2 linked regions of the Tamandua tetradactyla genome follow. The protein of the gene in region 1 purifies or fractionates together with the protein of each later gene. This does not show direct contact. Links are inferred from orthologs where the notes say so. Each region holds a gene or a part of one and is shown on either strand. Other genes may lie near its edges.

Region 1 (7,778 bases):
GCAGAGTCCCAGCACTAGGGGGTAGTTTCAGGTCTTTCAGAGCGTGCAGTGTTCCAGCTGAATGGACGTCCATCCTAGAATAATATGGAGAATCCTTTGTCTTCTACTCACCATCATTCAGAATGTACAATACCCCATGAAATTGCCCCTATAAAAAACATGACATCCTTGACCCCTAAATTGTCTGTTTTGGCCTCTGTTCCCACCTCCTTTAAAGTACAAGTACAACAATCCAGTTGTATTTGAAGAATACAGTTGGTAGAGTTAACCCAGCAGTTGAATGGAAGAATAAGGTTAACCAAGCAGCTGTTTGCTTGGTTTGAATATAACTTCCCATTGAATGCTCAGTCTGTTGATAGTTGCAAGTATATCCATAAAGCTGAATTATTGATAATAGAATGAATGTTGAGTCTCTGTACTTTTGAGTGCTTCTTTAATTCATCAGAGGCTAAAAACATGAAAACAAAGTAAGAAAAATGGAGATAGGAAAATAGTAGTTGTTTTCCTCTTAGAATTTATGTTGTAATGCATTAACTCAATTAATTTAGTGTCAAAAGATAAAAACAAGGTTTTGATGTTCCTAGGAATGCTAGAATTCCTCTGCATTACTGCTTTACTGATGACTAAAACTGGTGCCTTAGTTTAGGTTGTTGGGAAGGCATTGTGTAAAAGATTGCTGTTTTATTTCACATATGTGGTGAACTGTTTTTTTTATATTTATAATTGTGTTAATACCATCGGTATCTTTTCTTGTCTTCTGTATAATTGGTTGCTGAGTACAGTAGAAGGAGGACTTAGTGATCTAAATTCCTTCTGACAGAAGCCCTAGCTACCTTAAGTCACCTAGTAAAACGTGAATCTAAGACAGGTTCAGAGATAACTAAACGCGATATCTGACGGTTTTAAAATACCGACCAGCTCTTTTTCATCATTTATCTTATTCAGTAGACAACTTTTTAATCTCAATTTTTTTCTTTCTCAAGCTGTATCACCATTTGCAGAAATCAAATAAGCTAGCTTAGATTTTTCTCACTTGGCATATTTTGGAGAAATTTTCCAGATCTTAAGCTTTTTGAGAGAAGGGAATAGGAGAGAGTGCCAGTGTAAATTTTGGGTTTGGTTTTGACTAGGGTCGTATAGTAAGCTCGTTGAAAGTTTATCCTTAGCACATGTTCTCTCTCAAATGCCTGTGTCCATCCATTATCTGCTGAATGGTGATTGTCTGCTAAGTGAAAGTAATAGAAAGGTTTGGAGCACCTTTTTGGCTACTAGGTACTTTCTTGGTCCATTAGAGGGCGCCCTTGTTAAGTAGATCTCTAGTAGGTGTAAAATATGGGATAAGCAGACATTTTTACACTGGAGCTGGATTCCTTTAGCAACTTGGTGGGTTACTTAGTTATATAAAAGTGAGTACAAAATTAGACTGAGCTGAATCACTTTTAATGAAAAGGATATTTGATCTTGATTTATTCCACATTTGGTAACATTTCTGTCAAGCATTTGCTGGACTCTGGATTCTGAGTCTTCAAAGGTATCATTCTACAGTGTTATAAAGGAAGTAAGAAAATACACCACATCTCTAGAAAAAATTAGTTTGGGTCTGGGGCTTACCTAAAATTAGAAAACAATGGAAAATAGAGATTAGGGATAAGCTTTCAGATAAAGTATAATTGACCTATACACTGACAGTCATGAAGCCAGTCATGAAGCATCGTCTCAGTCTTTTATGTGGAAAACGGAATGGTCTAATTTAATTCTTCTGATAATCCTGTAAAGGAAGCAGATATGACCTTCGTTTATAGGTAAAGAGAGACAATCAGTGACTTGACCCAATTTGAATCAGGAATAGATTTAAGCTCTAGAGACATATCAAAGCACTTCTTCAAGGAAGGTTTGGACTAATTGTGAAAGGTTACAGACCAGAAATTTAGTTTCCATTATTAAGACTGTTGGTTTGGATTGCTGCTTACTTTGCTTATTGCGTAGTCTTGCCATGTATCCTCCATGAAAATAAATCATTTTTTCCACTGCTGTATCCCCTACAACAGTTTTTGGCAAATAATATGTGCTCAATAAATGCTTGTTGAATGGTGAATGGCTTGTTAGTTCAAGGAATGTGGTATTTGAAAGAGGTCTGATTCAAATGCCCAATTTTGAGCTAAACCAGAGAATGAAGAGGGAAGATGTGGAGGAATTGATTAAGGAATGAACAGGAGTAGAAAGAAAGCAAAATCTCAAAAAACTGTGTGTGGTAATTAGGACAGGGTAGTTGGGGAAGTAAAGGGAACCAAGGGCATTGAAGTTTGAAGAATGACCCACAGATTGCTGGACTACAAATCAGTACTACATTTGTCAGCCACATGGTTTATTTTGTGAGAGTGAGCAAAGCTAAATCAATATCTGAGTTTGTAAATTACACGTATATCTGGGTACATTTTCATATGCCTCACGTTCAGTATCTTCAAGTGACTCTTTAATATCTATAAAGTCAACCCCGTTTCCCAATCCAGCAGAACTATTTAAAAATACATAACTCATGATGCTAAATTTTTGACCCACATATGGCAGGTGAATGTACAGAATTTATACTGAGGCTATTCTGATATTAGTAGCACCATCTGAAAACTCCGTGGTCTAACATTAGGTCCATAGTTATTTGATACTGGATGATAACAATGGAAAATGTTCTGAGCTCAAAAGTTGGCTTTTTTCCATACCAGCCTAGTGACCTTGGGTAAATCATGTCTCTGAATTTGTTTTGCCATCTGTAATAGGGGATACAGCTACATATTTCATTGGGCTAGTGTGAGTGTTCAAGTGAGATAACTTGAGTTTATGAAGAGTGGTTAGCACAGTGCCAGGTGTAGATTAGGCCCTGAGATAAGTGGATACCCTTAGAATTGGATATATCACAGGTGCACCACTCTGGGGAGAGGTGAAAAGCAAAGAATAGGTAGGGGAACAAGGTGCTTTTTTAGTAGACGGGTATGACAGATGTGAGTTTGGTGTGTCTGGGTCAGTGATTAGCCCTGCAGTCCTATTAAACCCAACAACCCGGGGTATTTTCTCCGCTAATTTGGGGGATGCTTTTATGTGAACACATATTCAGCTGTGAATTGAGGTCATTTAATCTTAAAGGTTCATTCTAGTTCAAACATTTATGCGCCTGGCATAGCTTTCAAGAGAGGTGCTTAAATGCTGTTGTGAGGCTTCTGATAACTCCAACAATTCGTTAGCAATACGTCGGATGCTTTCCAGCTGTGCCTTTCTTCACTGTTCTAATATTTTTTTATGGTTCTTAGGGGAAAAGATGGAGATGTGGGGCGTGGGGAGAGGAAGCTCCAAATAGCCTGTTTTTCAGGAGCCAAATCTTCTCTAAAGACGCTCAAGGAAGTACTCCAACTCCGATTCTGTAAAAATCCGATCCACAGTTTTTCCCTTGCTTTGGCTTTTCGCCAATCTCACTACATGGCGAAGGGGAGACGTCTGCTCGCCCTGCACTAGGCGGGCGAGAGTCCACAGGCTCCCAGGAGGGCGGGGCGGAAGCTCAGGAATCAGGAGCAAAGGACAAGAAGTCTCGGGCGCCGTCAGACACGAGCACGCTCCACGGAACCACAACTTCCGGCATGCACTGCAGGCTGCGCCCAAAGCGATTGGCTGAGGGCTCTAGCCTTACTGCCCTCACTGTCCAATGGGACGGAGGCGAGAGGACTGACCCGCATTATTGGGGACCAATGACTGTACAGAGGAGGCGGGTGCTTCCTTACCACTCACCTTGCGCTCAGAAAAAAACTCTTTTTAAAGGTCCAGCAGGACCCGACCCTAGCAGGCAGTGACACCAGACTCAGAACGCGCGGCGGTTTCCCCCAAAAGTGGCGCTAGGGGCAATCGGATCACCACGAGGAGCGGGCCGTCTTTCGCCGGGGGCGGGGTCAGGGGCGGGGCCTGGCCTCGTTGTGGAGCGGCTCGTAATCCATCATGGCTGCCGCGGGGGTCGGTGTCTGTCTCTGAGCAGCGCTGGAGCCGGAGCCGGTTCCCGGGTCCTGCTGCTGAGGAGTTCCTCCGTTGTTGACGGCCCTTCTCGGCGGTGTGGGGCGGGGGAGGCTGGGTCCCGCGACGGAGATCAGGGCATGTAACTGCCTGGCGCAGCGTCTGAATAACGACGTCCGGGGCTGGGGGAGGGGGTGTCTGGAGCAGAGCCCCTCAGGCTCGGGGCAGCTGAGGTGGCCGGGCCTCCTATCCCCTCCGCCGGCTACCTGTCTCTGGGCCGCGAGGGTCTTCGTCCTTTACAGCCTCGCCCCGGCTTCGGGGATACTGTGGGTGGTCTCTGCTCCTCAGACCTGGGACACCCCGTTTCCTGAAGCGTGGAAGAGCTTCGCCCCGGAGTAAGCCGCCCGTGCCCCATCCCGGCAGCCTCCCCCTTACCCTGAGCCGCATTTTGCTCTTACTCCCGGCCTCAAGTTTGGCCGCGGATCCCCCCCACCCCACCCCCATTCACATCCTCTCCTTGCTGTCAAGTGGTTACCCCTTTCCCCCAGGTTGCTGTCGAGAGCCCCTGATGCCCTGACTTCTTCCAATGTCACCTACGGCCCTTTTAGTCTCAGCCCAGCCAAAAACGTTAATGCGAAGGAAAAGTCTGGATTGGTTTCACAGGCCCTTTAAAAAGCGGACTTAAAAATTGCTGGCAATGCATTCCTTTTCGACAAAGTCGAGGGCAAGCCCCTGCTGAAATCTGGGTGACCCGTGTCCTTTTCCGGAGAGCAGAAGCCGGAGCAGCAGCCAGTTGGGCAGGAAATTTGTGAAAGATGATGAAACTAAGATAAGAGGGTGGGTGACTTCCACAGGAAAAGTTCTGGAAGACCATCTAAAGACGTTCTACATTTCATTATATGTGGGACTATAAATGACTTCAATGATGTTGACCCTTTACAGCATCCCATGTGAATATTTCCATTTAGGGTTTTCCTCTTGAAAAGAAGGAAATTGTTATTCAGCCAGTAAAAGGCAAATTAAAGAAACTTTTCAGTAGCATTACAATTACATTACTTCAAATTGATTGCGAAAGTAATTGGAACTCCTGTTTACATGAATCAACCTAAAAACCGAACTTCACTGGGTCTTGGAAGATGTCTTTTTGTGATTGACCTCAATGAACTGACTTGTGGGGATGCAGTGAATGTGAAACCCCACATATATATTATTTTCCTTTTAAACTCACTGACCATTCTGGAAGATCTTGAACCCTTTTCTGGAAAGGGGTGCCTATCGTAACTTTATGGGGCAGCAGCCTGGAAAAGTTCTTGGGGACCAGAGAAGGCCAAGTTTGCCTGCCTTGCCCTTTATCAAAGGAGCAGGCAAGAAGGAATCATCAAGGCATGGGGGCCCACACTGCAATGTTTTTGTGGAACATGGTGAGTGCTTTTCAAGACTTCTGAAGTCATTTTTCCTTATGCATTTAGTTTAGTCCAACAAGGAACTTTTGAACAGTAGTGTTGTGCCAGTTCCTTCCAATTCTGCTTAAAGCTTCTTTTACTGCAGTTACCTCTTAGTTTCTGTTTGAACTTTCTTTGTATAAGTTATTTCGTGACTCTGTATGCCTGTTCAAATTCTCTTTGAGTTGCATTTTTTTGCCTGACTCTCCTTCTTACTTACTGTTGACCTTGGGCAACTGTTCTCGGGCCTCAGTTTCCTGAGGGGGTTGGACTTTTGTGGTTTCTTAGGATCCATAGTTCTGTAAAAGTCTGCCATAATCTAAAACGTGGGCTCTTCATTGAGGTGCCTGGGTCCTTTAATACTGCACACACTGTTCTGGGTGTGCTTGTGTGTGTGTGTGTGTGTGTGTATGTATGTACAGTTATCTACAGTAAGCTTTTATCACGTTCTCAAAGTGTGGCCCCCAAAAGATTAAGAATCACAGATTCTAGTTGATGCGGGTACCTTTGGCCTTTTCAGTCATAAGTAGTACTTGAAAATACTCACTTTGGGGCTATGTGGGGAAAATGGAGTGGAGAAGCGGCATTCTTTGTAAATTGAGGATATAAACTTACTAGTTAATTTACCTTACATTGAAAGAGCTTTCTCCATTGAATGAATTTTCATCATCCTCTCTCTCTTTAAATGACATTTTGGGCAAAAAATGTTGTCTGACATTTTTATGAACATAACGTTGGCATTTGAGTGCTGACAGTACATATTGTATTATTTTCTTCCAGTAATGCCATGTGGAGTTAAAGCTAAGGGTCAGCTTAGACTGATGTCTGTAACATCTAAACTAGTTAATGATAGCCTTGTTTGTACTGTTGCAACCTGACATTTTTCAGATTGTATACTTTATATCAAAATATCAATTGAGCCCACCCACCCTGTAAGCAAATATAAGATATGTACAAGTGGCATACACTTTGAAATTCAATCATAAATGATCAGCACAAGTAAATAAAGGCCTCTGTTCAATGAACTTGGAATTGACAGCTACAGAATATTTTCTTTCTTACAGAAAAATATTTACCTCATCTAAAAAAATCTGGGTACCTACCTGGATTTTACTTTGCCTTGAAACGTAGTTATATTTTAGCATTGGTTATAGACAGGCAAATATGGTAATGTGTTACTTTATGGTACTTCTCAAATTCAGGATTTAAAAAGTGAGTTGTTTACCTTTTAACTAGTCATTATCATGCAGTCTCAGTGAAAATTGTTAGACTCTTTGGAGAGGTTTGGAAGAATTTATCAGAATTTAAAATGTACATACCATTGACCCAGTAATCTCACTTTTGGAAACTAACCTAGTATAGAACAGCATATTCCCCTAGATGTCTCTGTTACTACTTCAGGGAGGGGGTCAAGAGGTTAAGTCTATTTGCAGATTAATACAATGCTAAGATGTTACTTGCCTCTTTCACTGTGTTGACATCTGCACTAATATGGCAAAAAATGCAGGTGCCTTGGAATGAATCAAGGCAGTGAGTGGCGCTTAACTGTACTTATAACCATAGTATTTTGCATGCCCTGTACCCATAGTTAAGAAAAAAAAAGTTTCTCTTAAGAATGTCTTTGATGAAGTAGCAAAAATTATTACTTTTATTAATTCTTGATCCTTGAGTCTATGTCTTTTTAATGTTATGTGGGACAAAATGAGAGGTATGTGTAAAGCACTTCTACTTTGTATGGAAATCCATTGGTTATTTCTAGGAAAAGCATGTGGGTGATTGTTTGAATCACAAGCTGTACTACCTGTTTTTTTCCTGTACTGCTTGAATGGATGACTGATAGACAAACTATGATTATTCACAGTTGGGTCCTTGGCAGACATTTTCTGAAAAATATATGGACACTTGTCTCTTCAAGGAAAACAATTGATAGAATTTGTTGCCAGTGATAAAATTTGAGCTTTCAAGTGAAAATTAGAATTTTGTATAACTTGTACCCACCACTGTGGTAAAGAGATGATGGTGATATTTACAGATCTGATATTCTGACATATTATCATGAAATGTATCATTTGGAGTGTCAACATAACTCAGTGAATGATATTTTCTAAATGATCAATGCATGTTCTAAAATCATACACAGGTAGAAGATCCTTATTCAAAGTATCAGAATATGAAAAGTTAATTGGTATGGTTTCAAATTCTAGATCATAACCAACCTTTAAGAAACTACTGCTTATCAAGTTTTTTTGTTTTGTTTACTGTTTTGACGCAACAAAAATTTATTGGCTCACACTCTGCCCACCACAAGTTCCACATCAAGGTCTCAATAGGCCACACTTTCTCCCC
Region 2 (8,072 bases), on another chromosome or scaffold:
GTCTATAAGTCCCCATCAGGTAATCAGGCTTTTTAGCTGTCAATCACCAATAAACACCTAAAGACTGACATCTGATGTAATCCTCCAACATAAAAGTTAGAGACCAAAAGAAATGGAAAAAAAAAACAACTTAGAGGAAACAAACTCTGAGAGGAGAAAACAAGTTGTTTTTTAAGTAATGTTATTTCCTCAGAAATTAAAGATTTGCAAACATGAAACAAGAACTCTATACTATATAAAAACGAAATTTTAAGAGAATAAAGAACTCAAAATCTTTACAGGAAAAATGAAAACTCCAGCAGATGGCTTAGGAAATAAAATCAAGGAAACCACCCACATAAAATACAGCAAAACTACTAGACGAATAATAGAAGAAATATAAGAAAAAAGGAAACTAGTCAAAGAGGTCCAACCAAATAATAGAATGTTCAGAGAAAGAGAAAGAAAAAGGAGGTGACAGAAATACACTGAAAAAATAATTCAAAAAACTTCCCACACCTGATGAAAATAATTTTGTAGATTTAGAAGACATAATAAATGTCCATGAAAACAGCACATCCTATGAAATTTAAGAATACAGGATATACAGACTTCCAGAAAAGAAACAAACATTACACAGGAGCAGAAATAAGAATTATCTTCAGAATTCTCAAAAGGTTCACAAGCTAGAAAACAATTGAGCAACACCTTAAAAATTCTGAATGAAAAATATTTCCAACCTAAAACTGGTCACCCAATCAAACCAAGTGGGAAGGCAGAAAAAAGGTTTCCACAAATGCAAGGTCTCAACCTTTCACAGGAAGCTACTGTAGGATATACTCCTTCAAAAGGAGGGAATAAACCAAGAAAAAGAACTGCATAACTCACAGAAACAGACTTAACACAGGAGAAAGGCAAAGGGAGTCACCAGTTTTATGATAAAGGGGGAAATTTCAAAAAAACTATTATGTACCAGATACGGAGGGCAGGTTCAAGCAGCTTCAAAAACTGGTAGATACCGAAAGTGCAATTCTATTCCCAGTATATATACACCCAAAAGAAAGGAGCATGTATATCCACTGAAAAACTTAGGCAAGAATATTCACAGCAACTTTATTCACAATAGCCCAAAACTGGAAAACAAGCCAAAAGCCCACCAATGCTTAATTTAAAAGAAGAAAATTGTAGTATATTCACCCGTAGGAGTATTACCAACTGCTGCTACACCCAACATCATGATGAATCTCACAAACACAATGATAAGCTAAATAAGCTATCCACAAAAAACAGTACATATTGCTTGCATTTGCATTAAATTCAAGAACAGGCAAAAGTAATTTAATTCTCACCTAGTGACAGGTGAGAATAGTGGCTATAGGAGAGGGGGCATGAGTCTTCTGCCGCCCTGGAAATGTTCTAAATCTTGGGTGATGAATATACTGATGTCTTCCCAAATTGAACAATTCGTTGAGCAATATATTTACATTTTGTACTATTTTCTCTAAACAAAGTTAGAGAAAACAAGCTTTTTCTTTTAAAGAAATTAAGGAGATTTTTAATCCGATTCCACAACAGAAATTAATCAAAACGTCAAAGTCAAAGGAAAAACAAGAAACCCAGCAGCGCAAAGCATCACTCAATGTCTAACAAAGCATTCCATCTATGGTTCAGGTTTTACATGGGCCTCAAAGCACTGGGAAGATCTGGGCTAACAAGTAATACGTGGAGAGATACAGCAAAGAATTTAAAATTCAATACATGAACAAACACAACTGTGCACAAGACTTGTACACCCTGTAAACTGTATTTACAGATATTAGAGTTAATTCCTACAAATCACAATTTTCCCAAAGAAAAAAATCCCAGAGTTCTGGGTCAAGATGAAATGAAACTACTATTGGTTAAGCAATGCAAACCTACTGAGTAATCTAGCTTTAAGGGGATGCCTATTTAAGAACGGTCCATTACTGACAACTACAAAAAAAAAAAAACTTTTCGTTGAATTATTTCCCCCATTTAATCTGTGACCTCGCTGAAAAATGGGGGGCTTAATAAATCGTTAATGTTTTTTCATAAACCTATCAGAGTAAGATTCTTTTTTTAAATCTTGCAATACCTACCCGTTTTGACCAGACACTGAGATGCTTTTCTCCCCTCCGAAAATGAGGTTAGAAAATTCTCCTTTAAACCCTTTTTATTCTTTCCTAACTAACGGTTAGAATTTTCGGTGACTTCAATTCCTCAGCTCGACATCAGATAAGCGCCTATAACGTTACCTTCAGCTCTTGCACAACACCTAGCTTCCCAAGCTTCAAAGGGCGAAATTAACTTTTATGGAAATACATTAGGAAAGGTTACAAGACCAACCTATCAAGATAATCTTTTAACGGATATATTACAACTCAAGTCAAAATCCCGCAGCCCGAGCAACTCGCGAATGGAACTAAGGCTGGTCCGAACCATCAAAAAAAAAAAAAAACCACCCAGATTTCCCGAGGATGAGGAAAGCTGCTGGGGGTGGGGGAGGGAGGAGGGGCCGTCCATATGTCCACCCCTCAGCGCCCGGCCCGGCGCCTCCCCTCCCCTCGGCCGGGAGGTGCCAGCCCCTCCCCCGCCCGGCCCTTCTCCATCCTGTCCACACCTTCCCCGCCTCGGTTTAGGCACACGGCAACCAGCAGGACTTTCTCTAAGAAGGCAAGCAGGCTGGGAAGCGCGCGCCGCACAGCCGCCCACCCGGGCCTCGCAAGGGTCGCCGGCCGGCGCGCTCACCCCGACGCGGTGTCCCGGGGCCAGACAGGGAGGCCCGAGGGGCGCGCGGGGCCGCGGTGCGAACGCCCAGGCCCGGCCCCGCGGGCTCCCCGCCCCCCTCCGGCTGCCCTCAGCTCGGAGCCGGCAGAAGGCGCCGGGGCTGCTAACTTCGCCAGAGAAGAGGAAGCGACACGGCGAGTCACCAGCCGGGCGGACACACAGGGGAGGGAGAGAGATGCGGCCTCCCGGCGTGGCTCTGCCCCGAAGCCGCCCCGCCTCGCCTCGACTCACCTCTGCGGCGCCGAGGCCGCTCCAGCTCCCCTGAGGAGCCCACCAGGACGCCGCCGCGGCCGCCGCGATGGCCGTTACGGCACGAGGCCTGCGCTCCGCCGCCGCGTAGCTCTTGGGAGAGGGGCGGGGCGGGGGCGGAGCGCGCGCGGCCGGCGGGTGGGCGGGCGGCGGCGCCGACTGGCCGAGCACTTACCGGCGGATCCGCCCCGACAGGAAACCTCGCTCTCCCAGCGGGTCCTGATAGGCTCGCCCGTTCCCTTCTCTCCAGCCCCTCCCTCGACGGTGGTTGGTGCCGCTCTAGGATTGAGCAGGCCGAGCTGTCAATCAAGCGCTGAAGTGGGCGTGGCGGGAGCTGAGGCTGCGCTGCGACCACAGGCCAGAGGACTAGCGGGTGGGCTGCGCTGGGTCGGAGTCTCTCCGCCGCTGCTCCCCGGCTGCTGCAGCTGACGATTTTGAGCCTTGCTGCTCAGCGCCCGCAGAGCCACTCCGCTGCAAAAAGTCACTGCTTGTGGAGTTCAGCCCCAGCTGCTCTGAGAATTTACTTCCTCCCTGGATTTTGTCCCTGAGGATCTTGGCAGCTGAAGGTTCCTGGGGGCGGGGAGCGAGCAAAAGGGCTAGGAAATAGGTACATGGGAGGGGAAAAAAATGCAAGCTATATGCTTATATTTGGTCCATAAGCCGAAATGAGCTGGCGCTGAGGGCCTTGGAAGGGCAGCTTCCAGTCTCGCCTGGGGTAATCGTTCTCCGTGGCCAGTCCCGGCCACCTGCTGGGTAGGCAGTATTTAGTTCTCCCCCCCTTCCCCCAGCCCTGCAGGCCCTCCCCAGCCCCCGGCGACATCGGCCTAGTTCCCTGCTCCCTCTCTTTGTTGCTCAGTTTAAGTGTTGCTTCCTCCGAGAAGCCTGCAGGCTTACGTTACCTTTCTCGGATTGCAGATCCGTTTCCCAACAGAACTGTAGTCCTTGTTCCCATCTAAACTGTAAATTCCCTTAGGTCAGGAACTATGTCAGTGTCTGTTCAGCTTTTCCCCAGGGCACATGAAAGACAGCGGTAAATATTTGTTTAAGGCGTTAATGCATCTTTCCCTCCTTTAATCCTGTCCCTGACTAAATCCCAGGGTCATGGCAGTTATTTGTATTTAACGATTCAACTACAAAATGATCCGTTTGCGTGCTGATGTATGCATGTGGTTTGCCTGCCATATGGGGAATCACAAGGTCAAGCACAAATCGCCTGTAGTTACTTCCGGGCCTCAAGTTGGCTGCGCCAAGTAGACCGTGAAACACAGCTGGCCAACAGCTACTCTGTAGCCACATTCCATTATGAGCAACCGAATCAATAATGCAAGTGAATTTGGGGTTTGTTCTAAGGGTCTGAGTAACTTTGCGTTATCATGTCATGCTATTCTTACTTATTAAAAGATCTCATAAGGTTTATAGCTTGAGATAGTAATTCTCTCATTTTTGAAGTGTAGAAATGATTATCTAGATGTTAAATGATTTGTCCAAAAGATCACACAGCAAACTGTTAGGACCTGACTCAATTCAATTCTAGTTACGTGTTTAACACGTGAGGAGGGGGAGAGGGGTGTAAATTCAAAAACTGGTAAAATAGAATCCTAACCTTCAGGTAGCTTATACTGATATCTGAAGCAGGGAAGATAATCCCAGAAAAAAATATGCTCGAGTCATACATTTAAATTTAATTTTGTTAAGGGAATCTGTCTTTTGAATGGGCCAGTAATCTGAGCAGACCTTTCACAGATTTCTTAACTTGTATGTCAGTTATTTAAGCAATAGAAGCAACAGCTGCAAGGAAGGGAGAGAGCTTAAATCTGCTTTTTCATAGAAGGGTGTCAGTTCCCTATAAACTTAACTTTTTCCTTTAGTCTGCTTCATAACACATTCTTACTAAGAATGTTAAAAATATCTGAAAAAATGTATGAAAAAGAGTCAAAGTAGAAAAATAAGAAAACAGCCAATTTTCTTATTGAAAACTGAAATGAAAGAGGAAAGCATAGAGAGAAAGGATAGTTAGGCAGAAAATCATCTATGAAAATTTCAGTTTGGTGTACTTAGAAGGAGGGAGTTGTCCCAGAGACCACCTTTTGCACACTCTCCCCTACTTCCAAACATATACAGGCACATGGCTTATCTCTGTCAGTGGAATGCGAACCAAAAACAGGAATCATCTTTGCTAATTATGGCTCAGTGGAACAGGGACTAGCCAGAATTAGACAACAACAAAATTTAGGTAAAGACTAATGACTTGTGGACTGAAGGTGGGGTTTGGGATATGGGCAGATAACTGTCTAGAAACAAAAACAGGTAGGTGACTCATGTCATTAATCCAAAAGGATTTGGGAAGACAAGGAAGGGAAAAATGAGCCTCCATGTTCCAAAGCCTTTCCTGGGAAACTATAGATAGCTTATAGTTATAAATTATTAGAGAGAATGATAGCATCACCAACAGGCAGGAATGTTTAGACCAAAAAAGCCCTATCAGCAAAGGTAAGTAATTAATCATAGGCTCAACTGTGATGTATCAAAGTTAGTAGACCCTGGTAACTAAACAATGTCTGAATTAAACATTTTCATACTTTTATGGGAATCTGTTCTACACACATTGATTGAGGGTCCACACTGTAGTAGGTACTATAACAAGTACTGGAAATTTAAAGCTCAGTCCCTGCCTTAAAGGAGCTCTATCCATTTCAGAGAATGCCATACAAATATGGCATTAATGCAGTAAATACAATAGATATGTCCAGAGGGACATAAAGTCAAAAGGCAGCAAAGTTGTGTGATCAGGCTAGTCGGTCAATTAACTAGGCAGAAAAGAGAAGGGCATTCCATGCAGAGGGTCCTGTAGGGGGGGAAAAGGGGGATTAAAAATAGAGTATTTCTGGAACAGAGGGTGACTAGAAATGTAATCAAAGGTAGGTCGTTGAAGATCTTGTTAAGTAAAAGACCTTACACCTCACCCTATAGGCATTGAGAAGCCATCAAAGGGCTTTCTTTCAGTTGTTTAAATGTCATTCCATTGTTGACTGTCCTCCACTGTATCTAAGTTGACTGTAATTGTAGTTCTTATTATTTTTCTGTATGTCCTAGTTCTTTTTTCTGGCTGCTTTTAGGATTTTTTCCTTGATCTTTCTTTATTGGCAAATTATGATGTTTCTAGGTGCAGTTCTCCCTGTGTTTATTTTGTCTAGGGTTCACTGAGTTCCCTGGATCTGTACGTTGCTGTTTGTTTGTTTGTTATCAATTTGGAAAATTTTTGCCCAGTAGTTCTCCAAATTTGTTTTCTACCTGATTCTCTTCTCTCTCCTCTTCTGGGACTATAGTTTCACTTAGCTAGGCATTTTAGCTAAGTATACTTAGCTCTGTTCACTTTTTTCAACTTTTTCTTTATGTTTTTCAATTTGGGTAATTTCTATTGAGATCCAATGTCTAGTAATCCCTGAAAAATCTGAATGTTGACATTTTCCCAAAGCACAAACATACTACCAATGGCTGTATTCCTTTGGAGAAGGTTTGAAGACATAACCATCTCAAGATAAGACCATACAGAGTATTTAGTGATTACAAGATAGGATAACAGAGAGTATTTAATATTGGGTGTAGATCAACTAATAAAGCAAAAAGGAAACACTGATGTAGCTCACAGGTGATAAGTACAGGGTGAAGCTTCCACTCCTCAGACTTCTGAAAAAGAAGAGGTTGGACGATCAGGCCTTAGAAGCTTAGAGGAATGGCCCCACTGAGCTGGAGCTCAGAACCTTGAGGAGGGAAACTGTCCCACTGGTCCTTCTGTTTCTGAGAGGGATAGGAAGCTAGTTTGGGGGTTGCCGAAAGAAACTCAAGTCTGGAACCAATTGCTGCTCCTGCGGAAAGGATTATTGCTTATTGCTGGGGTAACAATGACCGGAACTGCAAGCAAACAAAAAGGAGGAAGTCCCTTCTCTGCCTTCCCGGCTCCCTCTAATGCCCATTATTGGTGGAACATAGTGAAACACCAGGTGACAAAGGAAAAATGTAGCTTGCAGAGTCTAAGCCATCAACGAGCAAAGTATAGATGAGTGAATTTGGAGCTGAGAGACAATAATTACCAGTGCCATATCAACATTTGTGCTAAGATAGTAATAATGGCCCAAAGTAAGAAAATACTACCTTATATACTTTTATACATTTTAGATCCATTTTAAAAGACTCATATAAATTTTGCAATACTATGATTACTATTACTATCTTTTTCAGGGTTAAGGAGTGCCTTTACTTGCCACAAAATTAGAAAGGGCATTTTTGGAAGAGAGATATACAGCTGAAGGCGCCCTGCCCCAACATAAGGTCTCCTACAGTCAAGTACAAAATAGCATGGATTAAGTAGGGCTGGCAGGAATCCAGCCTTCTCCCTCCCTCCATTTCTTAATGCATTGCCTAATGCATTGCCTAACGCGGCCACAGCAAGGGGAAGACCAGTATCCTGTTCTAATCTAGGACAACAGTCATTGTCATTGAAAACCTAGCTCCTTTCCTTGTTCCCTCTTTCTTGCCTCAACTCAAGTTCCCTTACTCCAGTCTTATCTAGTTTTCTAATGCAAGTAGATGACAAAATAGGGCTTGATATTCAATATTTCACCTTTTAGCGTACTATTCACAAAGGAAGATTTTTTTTTTTTTAACACAGGCAGGCACCGGGAATCGAACCCGGGTCCTTGGGCATGGCAGGCATGCACTCTTACCTGCTGAGCCACCGTGGCCCACCCAGAAGATTTTTAATATTGAAGGATTGTTGCTAAACATTTGTAGAATACTGCACATAAAAATTATTCTACTTTAAAAAAAATTTTTTTTTAATTATTGTACTTTTTGAATGCTCAGACTGTAGATCTGAAAGGGGTCATTTTTTCAAGGCTTGTATTCCTTAATGATGAAAGTTAATGCTCTTCTTCTCCCAAAGTTTTTGTTAAAAACAATAAAGACACCAGTGATATTTCACATATTTAATATTTGTATTTGAATATATTAGGTTAGAATAAATATTTCTGCATCTG

What was found.
Region 2: the proteins of ABL1 (region 1) and NCK1 purify together in Homo sapiens (affinity purification with western blotting; 3 studies listed by BioGRID). This does not show direct contact. The link is inferred for Tamandua tetradactyla from reciprocal best matches to the Homo sapiens genes ABL1 and NCK1.

Annotation. Positions count from the first base shown.
Region 1 is NC_135328.1:53,605,730-53,613,507, forward strand, and holds the start of ABL1 (tyrosine-protein kinase ABL1), read left to right. Parts: upstream 1-4,688; 5' UTR 4,689-5,275; coding exon 5,276-5,411; intron 5,412-7,778. Other genes in the region: uncharacterized protein LOC143672591, read left to right, coding at 4,577-4,675. UniProt on the Homo sapiens protein: Non-receptor tyrosine-protein kinase that plays a role in many key processes linked to cell growth and survival such as cytoskeleton remodeling in response to extracellular stimuli, cell motility and adhesion, receptor endocytosis, autophagy, DNA damage response and apoptosis.
Region 2 is NC_135341.1:80,872,101-80,880,172, reverse strand, and holds the start of NCK1 (SH2/SH3 adapter protein NCK1), read right to left. Parts: upstream 3,126-8,072; 5' UTR 3,019-3,125; intron 1-3,018. UniProt on the Homo sapiens protein: Adapter protein which associates with tyrosine-phosphorylated growth factor receptors, such as KDR and PDGFRB, or their cellular substrates. Maintains low levels of EIF2S1 phosphorylation by promoting its dephosphorylation by PP1.